Linked DNA regions of Struthio camelus. The protein of the gene in region 1 binds, or shares a complex with, the protein of each later gene. Links are inferred from orthologs where the notes say so. Each region holds a gene or a part of one and is shown on either strand. Other genes may lie near its edges.

Region 1 (8,028 bases):
CCCTCAGCAATCACTCCCTGCACTTCTCCCTTGCCTAATTCTCCAGGATTTGCCCCCCAACCCCTGCCCATTCCCCCCAGTCCTCCCAGTTCCAGCACTCACTTTCCCAGCCTCCTCCCAGGCCCCCAGATCTCGCCCCCACCCCTGCCCAGTCCCCCCCAGCACTGACCCCCCCCACCCAGTCCCCACCCCAGCACACACCCCTCATCCTAGTCCCCCAGGGTCCCCTCCCAGTACTCACCCCTATCCCTTCCCAGTCCTCCCAGTGCTCCCCTCCAGCGGCCCAGTAGAGTCTCCACCCCAGTACCCCCCCCATCCCATCCCAGTGCCCCCTCCCAGGATCCCCTACCACCTCCCACTTCCCCCTCCCAGTACTGCCGACCCCTCCCAGTGCCCCCAGCACCTCCCAGTGCCCCGGCGCCCCCGCCCCACTCACGGCGGCGGGCGGCGACGGACACACCGGCTGTGGGGGCGGCCGCGGCGGAAGCGGAAGCGGAGCGGAGCGGAGCGGCCGGGAGGACTCGCGAGGAGCGAGAATCAACCCTCCCCCCGCCTAGAGCGGCCGCGCCCCTGCCACCATAGAGGGGCGCGAGGCGGAGACAGAGCGCCGCCGCGCCCCACTTCCGGGGGAGAGCCCCGAGGCCGCCGCGCTCCGCCGCCGCGTTGAGGGCGTGGGGGCCGCCGGCTCCCCCTGCCGGCGGGGGCGGCGCCATGGCCGAGCTCGGGGCCCACCTCACGGCCACCCCGGCCGGCGACGACCGGCCCTCCATCTTCGAGGCGGTGGCCCAGGACAGCCTGATGGCCGCCGTGAAGCCGGCCCTGCAGCACCTGGCCAAGGTAAGGGCCCGGCGCCTCCCGTTCCCTGGGCCCACTTTCCATGAAACGGCTCTTTTCTGTGAAATGGCTGTTCTCCATGAAACGGTGGGCGACGCACGCTTCACCCAGAGGACAGGAGATGTTGGCGGTGGTGGGTTTGGTGCGTGGCTGGAAGGGTTCATTACTGGGCAGCGTGCTGCTCCCGCGCGTAAGCAGACCTGTTGCCCTATTGCGGCGCATGGGTCCTGGCGTCGGAGGCGATGTGAGGGGCTGCTGGGCGCCCTCCCTGTGAGTCTACAGGAGCCTCTCTCCAAAAAAACAAGTCCCTTCGGTATTATGTTTCTCATTTCCCTTGTGCTCTTCAGAAACTGCTTACTGGAAGCTGTCTTCAGACTGCCTGGCAAGCGTTAACCGCCTTTCTCAACAGTGTTGTGTCGTGGGGAAGGTCCCTAGAGGAAACTCAGCAGAAGGGTTACATGGCCTGTCCAAGACGGTAGCTGAAGTGCAGGACAAGCAGTCTGCGCCTGCACAGAGGGTGCAGACTGATGCAAGCTCCCTCTGCCCTTGATTCAAGCAAGCCAGAATCAAGATGGAAAACAGAGTTGGCTTGTGTCCCGTTGACTCAAGAGAGCTCAACTGTATTCATACGCAGGGAGGCATGCCTTTAGCGAGGACAGGTAATGTAGACAGTGAATACTTGACAGTGAATGCTTTGAGGGGAAACTGCTGCACAGAGAGAACGTCGAGAGTTTGAACACCGCTCTCTCAGCTGAGCTTTTCATCACCAGGATTCACATTTGGCCACAGCTGTGAGCAAGCATAGCAGTTTTGACCCATTCAGCTCACTTTATGAACTGCAGGCATAGTTTACAGTTACTGTAATTTAGCATCTGTCTGCACCATCAGCTCCTTCCCCATTTTGTGTTTCTTTCAATAGGTGCTGGCTGAGTCGAATCCTGGCCGATATGGCTCCCTCTGGCGTTGGTTTGATGAGATCTACATCCTCCTGGATTTACTGCTCCAGCAGCAGTATCTGGCCAGGTGCAGTGCCTCTTTTTCTGAAAACTTCTATGGCTTAAAGAGGATAGCAATAGGAGACTGCAAACAATCGCTGGCCAGTGCTGGCCTGCCAAAGAAGCAGCACTGGAAGTCTCTCCTTTTGCTTGTTCTTGTTCCTTACCTGAAAGGAAAGCTAGAGAAACTGGTGTCCAGTCTGAGGGAAGAGGATGAGTACTCCATCCACCCTCCCTCATCGTCCTGGAAGCGCTTTTACAGAGCCTTTCTAGCTGCCTATCCATTTGTAAACATGGCCTGGGAGGGCTGGTTTCTTATCCAGCAACTGTGCTATATCCTCGGGAAAGCTCAGCATCATTCACCCATGCTGCAGCTGGCTGGCGTTCGCCTGGTGAGACTGACTGCAGATGATATCCAGGCCTTGGAGAAGAAATCTGCAGTAGCCGCCTCGAGTCGGACACACAGGTACATTAGAACTCTGCTTAGCAGCTACTTGCTAGGAGGTTCTGTGGGTGGGCTGACGTAGAGGCAACGCCCCTAGGTTAAGCTGTCTTGTTCTCCAGAAAGATGAAGTTTACATGTGGCAAAACCCTGCTCCAAAAGGGAATGTCATGATAGTAAGTGTAAATAAGGAACAAAGTAAGAGGCATTAGCTTCACAGGAGTTTGTGCTAATAAAATCAGAATGCTTTTTTGGCACTCCAGCCTCCGTTCCATTCAATCTTTAGCTGCCCTTTTCTATTAAGGGAAGCAGACTGTACCCATTTTGCTAAAAGGACTGAAACTTAGCCACAACTAGTCATGGTCACATTTAATGTCCTGTAAAATGATGGTCCATGAGTGAAATGTTCTGTGATCCAGGTCCCCTCAACCCAAACTCTTCTGATTTAGACCTCTGAATAAAACAGGACTTGACATTTTCCTAGAGATGCTATGCTCTTCTTAAAACACAAAGAATCTGAGAGCAACACCCTAGCAGATGTCTCATTACAAACATGGAACATGTTAACAAAATCATTTAGCATTAAGAAGCTGTATAGAGCAGTAACTTACCCCAAACCTTTTTAGCCTTGGTTTGCAGAGGGACAAATGTGCAGTACTGCTAATTTCTCCTTTCCTTCTCTCCCTGCCACAGCATTAAGGCACAAGTGCAGTCAGCAATGAAGAAAGCTTTGGGTGGCATTGCCTTCTCCCTGTCCACTGGGCTGTCTGTCAGCGTATTCTTCCTTCAGTTCCTGGAGTGGTGGTACTCCTCGGAAAACCAAGAGACGATCAAATCTCTGACAGCGCTCCCTACTCCTCCACCACCAGTACACCTTGACCATGGGGCGGACTCAGCTCTCTTACCTAAACTGAAGACCATGTGCCCGCTGTGCCGCAAAATTCGAGCCAATGCCACGGTCCTGTCCACGTCTGGCTATGTATTTTGCTACCGCTGCGTGTATAATTACGTGAAGACTCACCAACGATGCCCAGTCACAGGCTATGCCACAGAGCTACAGCACCTTGTCAAACTGTATTCCCCTGAGAGCTGAAAGGCCGGCTCTGTGCTTTCACAGAGATGCATCTGAGACTGAGTGGCAGGGCCACTGGGTAGCAACGAGCCTGAATTTGCCCTTTCTGATGTCCCCGAGAAGACCATCGACCAATACAACTTGCAAGTGGATCTCTAAAGCTCCTTTGAGTCCTACAGATTAGACTTTTGCTGCCTTGGTAAACTTCGATAAGGCTCGCCCTCTTGTTTTTTAGCCATTCAAACATCCCATGACAAAGCTCCAGAAGGGTAGGACAGTCACGATCTGTCAGTCAGCATAGAAACACCTTCAAAGGCAAACTGAATGGGAGGAGACATTGATTTGGATAATAAGAATGCAGATGTGAGAACCAAAGAGCACTGCTGGCAAAAATCCTGCTCGAGGGTATGGCCAGCAAATTGGAGAGCTACAAAAATTGTCCAGGCGAGCTATTCCACCCTTAGCCGCTTCACAGACTCTAGTACTGCCTGGGGCAGGTTCTGGCACTAGCGCTTCTTAAAGAGGTAGAGACAGACTTTGACCTCTTTTCTGACCATGGTATTCTTAAGTGCCTCCATGCATTTTCAGGCTACTCGCCTCTGAATTAATGATAACATTACACCTCTAATTCCCATCAACAGTTCTAAATTAAGGCTTTGACTCTTTAAAGGAACAAGAGATGATATGTATAATGTGTACAAACACAGATACAAGACTACCAGGGAGGAAGACAAACTAGATTAAAGCAGCAATTGTGAACTGTTTTTTTTTTTTTGTTAGATGTGTCCTCAAATCTGTTGTTATCTGCTTTTACAAAGCAAAATTCTTTCTTGATTTAGAACCCATTTGAACTAAATGAACTGCATTTGTTTCTTTTCTAATGTTTGAAAAAAGAAAGTTTGCTCCTCTAGGATCTTTATTTGCACAAAGGAGACTAGACTAAAGCTGCTCTTATCTTTGCAGATGATGGTCATAGATAAAAGATTAGTATTTTGCAGGCTGGAAAGCTGTAATATCTGTGTTTGAATTTAGTATTACATTGCTGTTATTCCAGTCCCAATCTAGACTGATCATGTAGCACATTGAACAGGGAATAGAAGGAAATGTGCATGATGTTATGGGTGGTCCTGGCTTCAGACCACTGACTGATCAGACACATGATTTTTATTGACAGAAGGTTGATTTTCTTGACTCATCTCGAGGGAGCAGCAGTTATCTGCTCCAGACATCACGGTGACATTGCCTATAGAATATGAAGCAGAGTTTGCTGCACAGAGTATACTGTCTTTCCAGATTAAGAGATATGCTCTAACATTTAATCCATAAAACCAATGATCTCATTTCCCCCCCCCCATTTTAGCCCTGCTTCAGAAAAAAAAAAATCAATAAAATTGTCCCTCATCTGTGAGCAAGATAACGAGTGTATTGAATAGGCTGGAAAAATACAGTAATTTGCATTCTCCCAAAGGTGCTCTGGGAAAAAACACACAAACAAACACACACCACACAACTTTTCTAACAAATGAGATAAGTCCCCAATGCTTATTATTTCTATACAACTGCCAGCCCCTTCTAACTCTGCCGCTATGGGATAACAACAAAAACTGTCACGTTTTTTCTTACCTCCAGTAGTTCTGGGATTGATAGAAAAGAGATACCTCTCTTCCTTTAGAAAGCTGTTAAGAGTACTTACACACAGCTTATTGGAAAAGAAATCACATTGAATGCAAGATTTTCTGAGATTTTAAATCACTTTTAATATAGCTGGCTTTGGGCTTCATATTAACTCACATCACTTGCTACATCAGTTTTGCTTCATACACTGAGATTATCATCTCTAATGAAAAGCCACTATCCAAGATGCTCCCCTGTTGCTACATGGTCTTAAAATAACCAGTCTGATTATACAGACATGGCACTGACTGTCCCATTGACTCCAGAGCAACCGCTCATTTAATAAGAGCTGCAGGATTTGACTGACTATTCAGTTTTAAGATAGGTTTGTTTTCCTTCGGTCCTTTCTATACCTTCCAGATTCTCTCTCTCTTGCTCAGTGAGAAACTGGGCAAGCAGGTAACGAGTGATCTCAGAGTTAATAACTATTTCCCTCTCCAGAGTGGCCACTGGATGGCCTCCTGTCCGGCTCTGGCTGCCTTCCACTCCATCTCTCTCCTCCCCCATGCTGTACAATGCTGAGTTCCTGCCAAACAGATTTGGCCGACTCCACCTGGGACCTGCTCAGAACCACCCACATCTAAGCTTCACAGTTTAGGACAGCTGTAATTATTCTTTTGAATGTTAAATTGCTCTTTAAAGCCTATCTGACTAATAGGCATTAAGTCCATAATGGTGACACACTTGGCAGTTACCGGGCAGATTTTATTAGTGTTCCTGCAGGTGGCTGCAGGATACCAGTTTGGATCTGACTGCTTTTGCTAACTGGCCTGTGCTTAGTAGCCAAATACCTGTTACATTAAGTTGGCTGCTCTAAACAAAGCTACAAAACCAATGCACATTACTCAAACATCCCCTTTTTCTACTTTGTACACTGCAATAGTACTGTTAAAGCCGTGATGGTATCAAGACATACAAAGAAAGACTTGTTAAGGAAATAAATACTCTTTTATTACACCAGCCTTCACATTTACATACAAATTGGGAGCGCTATACACTCATGTATCATATATACGCTCAGGAAGCTTTGATCTGTTGCTTAATACAATTACTTCAACATTAACAGTGGCACTGGAGTTACCTAATACCTCACTGTCATAACTTGATTTTTCCAGTGTTTTTTTTAAAAAATGTTTGAATGCGGCTTAGCTTCATTACAACTCGGTCACTGTTCAAAACATGAGTGCATTAACAATTGAGTTGCTTTCCCTACTTCCTTAACGGAAACTGCATAGCCTCTCTTGTTAAGAGATAACCACCATATCTATTCTCCTAGCTTGATAAGAACAAAACCCAACATAAAACATACACCTCCCCCATAGAAGCTTCCCTCTCCACACAAGTGAGAGGTGAATGTAAAGCTGTCATCGAGACCTAGAAGAAAATGAGAACAGGATTAGAGAATACCTCCATATCTTCTTCTGCACCTGCTTATTAGCCCAGTCTTTGTGGCTGGTGAAAGGGCTGCACCTTATCCCACACAACTCCATGTGTTTCGATTAGTCCCACCCCTCACTAAATGCAAACTATCTAAAGTCAAACATCCAGGTGATACTGATGGCTTTTGGAAAAAACAACCAGAACAAAACCCCCAAAATTAAAAATGCCCTCTGCATCAGCCCACAGAGTCTGGGTGCTTTTGTTTCTAGATACCTTTCCAGGTTAGGGAGTCACATGCCATCACAAGCAGCCATTTGAAAGCATAACACTGACTCTAATACTAAAGATATTTGGAGAGTTCATCAAGGCAAAAGAATCAAAATTCAACCTAACTCATTATACTATCTGCAAATTTTCTTTAGTGAAATTGTTCCTGTGCTTTCCGAGATACAAATCACTTCCTAGAGCTAGAGAATCCATTTTGTTTCACAGCATTTAGATTTTAGAAGTTACGGAAACATAGCTGTATATTGTACTACTCATGCACAACTAAAAATCTGAGTCTATAACACAGCTTAAAGAAAAAAACACCTTGCATACAACAGACAAATCATTGTGAAACAGCTGATGTGAATCATGCTGGGCTCTAGCTCACATATCGGGCTCTGTGTGACTCCTGCCTAGCCTGGTCCTCCTAGGGCATAAAGGGAAAGTGTTCCCAGTAACTTTCTCCCAGGAAACCCCAGTGCATAACATGTAATAAATACCCTCTCCTGTGAAGACTTTTGGGGAGTGCTTGATTACTGCATTTTTTCCAATACCCGAATTTTAACATCCTCTGCCCTACCAACAGGGAAGCAGCCACATTACGCTGCTGCTGCCAGCCCCTCCCATCTCATATCTTGACATGCAGCCTGAGAGAGAGCAGAGCACCAGAGCCAGGCCCAACAGCACAGCTCACTGCTAAAAATACTCCTGTCTCAGTGCTCGCAATCATTGGATGATAAGACAGCTGAACCAAGTGGTCATGAGGTCTCTACAGGATAACCTCCATTTTACAGAGTCCGCACTGTATTTACAAATGGATGATACAGTGGCAGACCATCTAGAGTCTGTGTGGGACATGTTTTACCATGGGAGGAAAGCCAAGAAACCCCTGTCACAGCAAGCTCAGTGATAAAACCAATGTGGCAGCAAGATACAGAAATCCAAACAAGTATTTACACAACTCACTTTTCAAATCAAGGTTGAACTTTTTTCTGCTGCTGCTGCTGCAAAAAAAATGCTAGAAAAGTAATCATATTTTTCACTACTTTTAAGAGCTGCATCACACACTTTCAAGAAACAACAGTTTCTTTTCATCTAAGTCTGAGATGAACTTAGCCTAAATAAGCTCAGAGAGAAGATTACGTGATCACGCCCTGGTCAGAGCAAAGACACAAAGTCTCAGCAATACCAGTTCAGATAATACTTCACTCATCATTGCTTTGGGCGAATCTCATTTCTGTTCAATAAGGACATTGCTCTCCAGTCAGGAACTAGAATATATTCTTAGGGAGAGGAAAAAAAAAAACACAACAAACACATAATTGGTTCTGGGTTGATTCTTTTCAGGAGCAAATGGCTTTCTA
Region 2 (7,456 bases), on another chromosome or scaffold:
CGCCCGCTCTTTGCACCGGCCCCTTTTGGGGCAGATTTAGGCGTTTTTCGAGGCGCTGGGTGTCCGGCATCGGGCAGGTTGGCGGCGCGTGCAGAGACCCCACGCGCTCGTCACACGGCTGCGGGGCTCAGGCCAGGGGGCGAGTCGCGCAAATCCGGTTTGCGTCCCGCCGCCCGGCCCCGGCAATCCCGCCCGGAGCTCGTTAGCCCCCAGCCCGGCAGCAGCCCGCCATCGCGCCCTCCGGACCGGGCCGGGGTTTTTCCTCCGCCTGCCCGGAGGCTCCCGCGGGGACGGAGAGCGGGAGCGAACCCTTCCCGGAGGGATCTGCCGCCCGGCGAAGCGGCTGCTCCTTCCTCCCTCCTTCCCATCTTCCTTCCTCCTTCCCTTCCTTCCGCCCTCCCTCTTTTCTCCCTTCCTTCCTCTTTCCTTTCCATCTCCCTCCTTGCCTTCCTCCCTCCTTCCCATCTCCCTCCCTCCTTCCCTCCCTCTCTCCCTTCCTCCCTTCTTCTTTCTCTTTCCCTTCTTCCCTCCTCTTCCTCTTCCCTTCCCTTCTCCCTCCCTCGCTCTCTCCCTTCCTTTCCTCTGTGCTTCCCTTCGTCCATCCCTCCCTCCTTCTCCTCCTTTCCTTCCCTCCCTCCCTCCCTCCCTCCCCGGCCGTACATGTCCGACAGCCCAGAAAGGGTCTCGGAGCGACGTCCAGCTCCGAGCGCAAAGAAAAATCGAGGACGGCAGAGAAATGCAGACCCCCCCCATCACCCCCCATCTCCCCCCCACCGCCCCGGCAGCCCCCGTGCGGTCCAGGCTCCAGCAGCGGTGGGACCCCAGCGCCCCCCCGGACCCCCGCGGCCCCCGCTCACCTTCCCGTTGGGGCTGGCTTTCTTGAACACCCTGCAAAAGAGGAGAGGGGAAGGCGCCTTAGCGGGGAAACCGAGGCACGGAGGAGCGAGGTGCCCGGGCCAGCTCCCCCCGCCGCGCAGCCTCTCCTAGAAACGTCGGCGAAACAGGGGGCTGGCGGCCCCGCGCTCCCCCCCCCCCAGCGCGGCACGGCTGGGCGCGCGCCCAGTCCGAGGGGCGCGACGGCAGCCCAGCGAGCCGCCGCCGGGCAGAGCTCTCGCCGAGGGGGGGTCCTGGAGCGCGGGGCCCCCGCCAGCGCCGCGGCATGCCCAGGGGCTGCCCGGCACCGCTGCTGCGCAAGGTGCCGTGCAAGGTGCCGTGCAAAGGCCCTGCTGCGCAAGGTGCCGTGCAAGGTGCCGTGCAAGGTGCCGTGCAAAGGCCCTGCTGCGCAAGGTGCCGTGCAAGGTGCCGTGCAAAGGCCCTGCTGCGCAAGGTGCCGTGCAAGGTGCCGTGCAAGGTGCCGTGCAAAGGCCCTGTTGCACCAGGTGCCGCGCAAGGTGCCGTGCAAAGGCCCTGTTGCACCAGGTGCCGCGCAAGCTGCCGCGCAAAGGCCGCGCTGCCCAAAGCGCTGCCTGAGGGCCCGGAAAGGGCAGGTTTCTGCCTCGCAGGGCGCGCCGAGACGGCCCGAGCCTCCGCAAGGCGCCCAGGGAGCCTGGGCAGAGACGGGGCAGCGCCGAGCGCCAGCCCGGAGCCAGGCTGCAGCGAGGCCGCAGGCAGCGCCCAGCACGGCGCGCGGGCCGCCGGCTCCGGTCACCGGCGGAGGCCGCAGTGACCTCGGCCGCCCCTTCGACAGGCGCACAAAGACCTGCTCTTGCAGCTCAGCTGCCCCGTTTCGTAACCGAACCCCGGGTTAAGCTGCACGAGGGACGTCAGCGTGGCCGCGGGCGCCTGGCATTGCCCCTCTCCGTCCCCATCCCTGGGGGACGTGAGAGGCGGCTGCAAACGCCAGGCGCCCCCGCTATCGGCCCCCCACCCCGGGTCCTTTTATTTTTTTAAAGCGTGGCGAAGCTGGAGCAGGAAAGCAACGCCATCGATTTCCCCTGAACGCCGGGCAGAGGAGCGAGTTTCACCAGGCCTCATGTTAATGTGGCTGCCGGCTCGATCCCATTAGCTCCGCGGCCCGAGAGGGGACCTCGGGGGACAACGCGTCGAGCAACCGCACCGCGCGCTCCGCGGTCAGGCCAGCATCCGGCCGGGCGCGCGGGAAGAGCCGCCGCCGCGCGCGGGGCCACGCGGCTCGTCGCTCCCCCGCGTCCCGGACGCCGTCGCCCCGCGCCAAAAGCCGGCGATCCCTCTCCTCCGGGGGTTTCCCGCGCCCGACGCTCGGCCGAGCCGGGAGGAAAGGAGAAATCCCCCGGCTCGGGCGCCGGGTCGACGGCCACGTGCCTGCCCGAGGCTGGGTGAATCGAATCGGCCAGCGCTTCCCACCCCGCTATTTCCTCCTCCCTATTAATTATCGGCGCTGGTGGCCGCGCTCCTGCCACGGGAAACGGGGCCGAGCAGGGCGGCGCGCAGGAACCGCCGCGGGAACCACCGCCGCCACCACGGGAACTGCCACGACCGCGGGAACCGCCACCGCCGCCACCATGGGAACTGCCACGACCGCGGGAACCGCCGCCACCGCGGGAACCGCCGCCACCGCCACCATGGGAACTGCCATGACCGCGGGAACCACTGCCGCCGCGGGAACTGCCACCGCCGCCAGCACGGGAACTGCCACGACCGCGGGAACCGCCGCCGCCGCGGGAACTGCCACCGCCGCCACCATGGGAACTGCTGCCACTGCAAGAACCAGCGCGACCACGGGAACCACCACTGCGACCACGGGAACCGCTGCCACCACCACGGGAACCACTGCCGCCACCGCGGGAACCACCCCCGCCACCGCGGGAACCGCGCTGGCCCTCGGCCCGGGCACACCTGCAGCCGCACATCCGCAGCTGCCCGCGCGGAGCAGCGGCCAGGACCCCCTCGCTGCCGGCCCTTCCCGCGCTGCCCTTCGCTCGCCTGCCCCGCCTGACGCCCACCCCGTCGCAACACGTTTCCCGCGACCAGCTCGTCGACAACATCGCCCGGCCGGGCCCAAGCAGCTCCTCGCTCCGGGCCTCCTTGGCAAGGAAGCGACTTGGCTCTCGGATCCGGGATGTCTGCATCCTGCTGTTATTAGGAGAGTTTGTTCTGCAAACAAAGGCCAGGAAGCACGAGTCTCCCCCCGGGCCAGCGGCCAGCGCTGCCTCTCTCCCCGCCGCAGCCCGGACAGCTCGGCCCGCCTCGGCGCCCCCCCTCCCCGGCCCGTTCCCGCGGCCGCCTCGGCTCTGTCGGCAGCATCCAGGCCGGGATTTGGGGGGGGGGGGGGGGTCGCACCCTCGGAGAAGCCGTAAATAAGGGGGCGACGCGGCGGCGCCGGCGAGCGCACGGCTCTCACTCCGCCTGCGGACGCTTCCCGCAGCGCAGGGCTTTGAAGGGCGCTCGGCAGGCGGCTGGGAAACGCGGTGCGCTGACGCCCGCGCCGGCCCCGGGGGCACCCGCCGCCCGCGGGCAGGGAAACCCTCACGCCGGCGGCACGGGCGACGTTCAGCGCGGCCGCGCGTGCGAAACGCTGCGGCCCCGCCGCCCGAGCCAGCTGAAAACTTGCTGTTCCCCCCCCCCCCCCGCAACGGAGGCGGCCCAGCGCGCGGCTCTGCGGCCCTGCAAGCCCACGAAGGAATTGGAAGAAATGAGGTTTTTCGGGTGTTTCCGGAGTCTAAAAGCAAACCGGGGCTCTGCAAGCCCGCGACCTCGCCGTGCAAAGCCGCAGCCGACCCGGCCGCCCTCCGCGCCGGCTCCCGGGCTTTTTGGGGGGGGGGGGGGGAACCAAAGCCCCCCCCCCCCGGGTGAATGAGAAGAGATCTGTCACGCGAATCCCCGCGCGCCCTCGTCTGCTCCGGCAGACGCCCCGCGGCTCCCGGGAAACCCTCGCACCGGCGCTCCCCGGGGCAACGCGATGCGGATGTTCGCCCCATCCCCGGCGGGCTCCTTCGAAGGCCGGCAGCGGGGACCCCCGCGAGCCGCTGGCCGGCCACCGTGGGGGGCGAAGGGGCTGTTCTCACGCTCTAGAGGCTAAAACATACTTTTTTTCCGGAAAAAAACTGATGCCAGGGCAAGGGGAGACAGCCAGAGCCGGGCGCATCCGGCCCCCAAATCACGTCCTGCGACCCCACATCCATGCAGCCTTTCCGGAAGGTTCTGCAAAGAGGTTGGCCAAACCCTTGCAAAAGCGGGGCCCAAACCCTTGCAAAAGCGGGGCCCACCCTCCCTGCCCACCTCGGCCTCGGGGCCCGGCCGCCCGGGCAGCCGACGCCGGCGGTGCGCGACGGGCGCCCCCGCACGCGCGTTCGCCGCATCGACGCGCGCCCCTAGCCAGGGCCCAGGCCAGGCAGGGTCTCCCATCCGCAGGATGCTCGAAGCCCCGCAGGGTGACAACGGGCACGACGGCTCCCCCACGTCCCCCCCCCCGCCAGACCTCCAGGCCCAAAACACCCCTCGACCAGGACAACGGGGCCCGGTTGCTCCTGGTTCCCACCCGAACCCAAAAGCAAAAGCGTTTCTCAGCAGCGACGGCTCGTGTGCCCCCACCCCAGCAACGTCCAGGCGCCGGGTCCGGGTGAAAGAGAGTAATAACGTCCGCGTCGCCGATGCCTCTAGGCGCAGCGCCCAGCGGGCACCGGGCTCGGCCCAGCGCTCCCGGGACGCGCGACGCCCCATCGGGGTCGCGCAACCCCCCCGACGCGCTCCCGAAAGGCGCGGCGGCGGCCTGCCCCGCGGCTCGCGTGCTCGACGCCGCGAGAGCGGGCGCTGCCCTCACGCCCAGCCCGGGGGCTCCCGCCTCTGCTCCCCGCCGCCCCTCGGGGCTGCCGGATGAGGCCCCCGGGCTGCGACAAAAGCGGCTCTTGCAGCAGCCCTGCCAGCTGCATCCCTCGCCCCTCCCCAGCTGCAGCTGCGTTTCAGGAAAGGGGGGTTTGCGCGCAGGCGAGAGCTGCCGCCTCCAGCACGCCGACAGCCTCCAGATGTGGCAGGCGAGGCGGCTGCTCGGAGCAGCAGGCTGCGGGCCCGAGCGCACGGGGAGGGGCGGCCGGCGCCGCCGTTCCCACGGCGGGCAGCGCGCCCCGAGCGCCACCGACGCGGGGTGGGGGGGGACCTAGGGGGGGCACACGGGGACCAGGGCAGCCCGCAGCCCCGCTCGAGGGAAGCGCAGCCGTTTCCGCCTTGACCGCGGCCGCCGGCACCGTGCGACCCCGCGTCGCCGTGCCTCAGTTTCCCCTGCGCATAAGCGGCGGCGTGGGAAAGCGGCGCGGCCCCTGCCGGCGCCTCCCCGCCGCCCCCCCCGGCCCCCGACCCCCGCACTCACCGGGTGCCTTTGTCTCCCATGGCCCCCGCGGATCGCGGCCGCTCGCAGGGCAGCGCCGGCCCGAGCTTGGAAAATTACTGGGCGGCAGCTGCGCCCGGTCCGGCTCCGCTCCGCTCGGCTGGCCCGGTCCGGCTCGGCTCGGTTCGGCTCCGCTCCGCTCGGCTCCGCTCGGCTCCGCTCGGCTGTCCCGGTCCGGATCGGCTCGGCTCGGCTCCGCTCGGTTCGGCTCCGCTCGGCTCCGCTCGGCGCCGCTGTCCCGGCTCGGCCCGGCTCGGCTCGGCTCCGCTCGGCGCCGCTGTCCCGGCTCGGCCCGGCTCGGCTGTCCCGGCTCGGCTCGGCTCGGCTCGGCTCGGCTGTCCCGGTCCGGCTCGGCTCGGCTCGGCTGTCCCGGCTCGGCCCGGCTCGGCTCGGCTCGGCTGTCCCGGCTCGGCTCGGCTGTCCCGGTCCGGCCCGGCTCGGCTCGGCTGTCCCGGCTCGGCTCGGCCCGGCTCGGCTCGGCGCTGCAGAGCGCAGCCCCGCGGCGCGGCGCGGCCGCCTCCGCCCGCCCCCGAGCGGCGCGGCGCGGGCGGGGCGGGCCGCGGACACGCACGCGGGGGCGCGCAGCCACCCACCCGCGCGGCGTGGAGGTTCCGTTGGGGAGGGCGGACACGCACACGCGCGCCCCCGCGCGCAGGCAGCCGTGCATGCGCACACACGCGGCCCGGGTGCGTGCACGCACAGCGCCCCCCCCCCCCCCCCCCGCCCCTCCTCTCCGGGAGAGCGAGCGCCCCCCCCCCCCCCAAAGCCAGCGCTGTGTGCACAATCACGCGCCCCCCGCGTGCACGGGTGCACACACACCCACGCACACGACTGTACGCACGCACCCCCCCCCATGCGTGCACGCAAACACTTGTGTGCATGCACACGCCCATGGGCACAAGCATACGCACACCCCTGTGCACACCCCCCATGTGTGCACACACACACACGCACACACACACACCCCTGTACGCACGCACCCCCCCACGCAAACACTTGCGTGCATGCACACCCCCATGTGCACGAGCACACGCAGGCCCCTGTGCACACACACACTACCCATGTGCACACACGCACGCACCCATGTGCACACACACACACAAACCCCAGTGTGCATGCACACACCCCTGTGCACAAGCGCACACACACACACAGCCGCCTGTGTGCATGCACACCCCCATGTGCACGAGCACACGCAGACCCCTGTGCACACACACACTACCCATGTGCATGCTCACACACACGCAAACCCCTGTGTGCATGCACACCCCCCTGTGCACAAGCGCACACACACACACACACACACAGCCCCCTGTGTGCATGCACACCCCCATGTGCACGAGCACACGCAGGCCCCTGTGCACACACACACTACCCATGTGCACACACGCACCCATGTGCACACACACACAAACCCCTGCGCACACACACGCACAAACTCCTATGTGCATGCACACCCCCCTGTGCACGAGCACACGCAGACCCCTGTGCACACACCCCCCCCATGCGCACACCCCCCCAGGCCTCTGCGTGCATGCACACACCGGTGTGCAAGCACACCCCACGAGTGCCCACCCAGCCCTGAGTCCCTGCGCATACACCATGTGCGCATACACCCCTGTGCACCAACCCACATACCTGCGTGCACACACACTCCTGTGCACACACACTCCTGTATGCACGCACACCCACCCCGTGCACGCACACCCACCCACCCGTGAGCACGTGCCCCCACGCGAGCACCCCCACGTGCATGCACACCCCTGTGAACACACACATAAACCTCTATTCACACACACCCCCCGTGCACACACAAGCACGCATGTGAGCACACACTCACGCATACACCCGTGTGCATGCACAGCCCCCACGTGACCACACACACCCTTTTGAGCACGCACACCCCCCTACCCTTACAGGCACACAAACTTGTGTGCAAACCAGCACACGCCCGTGTGCACACCCACCCACCCACGTACCCCCCCCATCCCTCACAGCTGGACTGATCCATCCCTCCCTGCACCACGGCCTCTCAGGGCAGGGTCCCAGCACCCCCGTGGGTCCCAGCCCCCCATGGGTCCCAGCACCCCCGTGGGTCCCAGCCCCCCATGGGTCCCAATGCTCCCGTGAGTTTCACCACCACCATGATGTTCCCAG

Evidence for each region. The genes of interacting proteins can lie anywhere in the genome.
Region 2: the proteins of AP2B1 (region 1) and ARRB1 are in contact, whole or in part, in a crystal structure (PDB 2IV8), measured with the Homo sapiens proteins. The link is inferred for Struthio camelus from reciprocal best matches to the Homo sapiens genes AP2B1 and ARRB1. Residues at the interface, in NP_001273.1 of Homo sapiens: Arg834, Gln835, Phe837, Leu838, Trp841, Lys842, Asn846, Glu849, Ile876, Ala877, Arg879, Val881, Glu882, Gln884, Tyr888, Glu902, Arg904; in NP_004032.2 of Homo sapiens: Asp384, Asp385, Val387, Phe388, Glu389, Phe391, Ala392, Arg393, Arg395, Leu396.

The regions. Positions count from the first base shown.
Region 1 is NC_090957.1:14,847,898-14,855,925, forward strand, and holds the start of AP2B1 (AP-2 complex subunit beta), read right to left. Parts: upstream 2,965-8,028; 5' UTR 2,883-2,964; intron 2,296-2,882; coding exon of another isoform or gene 1,754-2,295; intron 838-1,753; coding exon of another isoform or gene 712-837; exon of another isoform or gene 404-711; intron 377-403; exon of another isoform or gene 242-376; intron 1-241. Other genes in the region: PEX12 (peroxisome assembly protein 12), read left to right, coding at 712-837, 1,754-2,295, 2,965-3,364. UniProt on the Homo sapiens protein: Component of the adaptor protein complex 2 (AP-2). Adaptor protein complexes function in protein transport via transport vesicles in different membrane traffic pathways.
Region 2 is NC_090942.1:223,716,356-223,723,811, forward strand, and holds the start of ARRB1 (beta-arrestin-1), read right to left. Parts: upstream 3,091-7,456; 5' UTR 3,048-3,090; coding exon 2,815-3,047; intron 889-2,814; coding exon 858-888; intron 1-857. UniProt on the Homo sapiens protein: Functions in regulating agonist-mediated G-protein coupled receptor (GPCR) signaling by mediating both receptor desensitization and resensitization processes.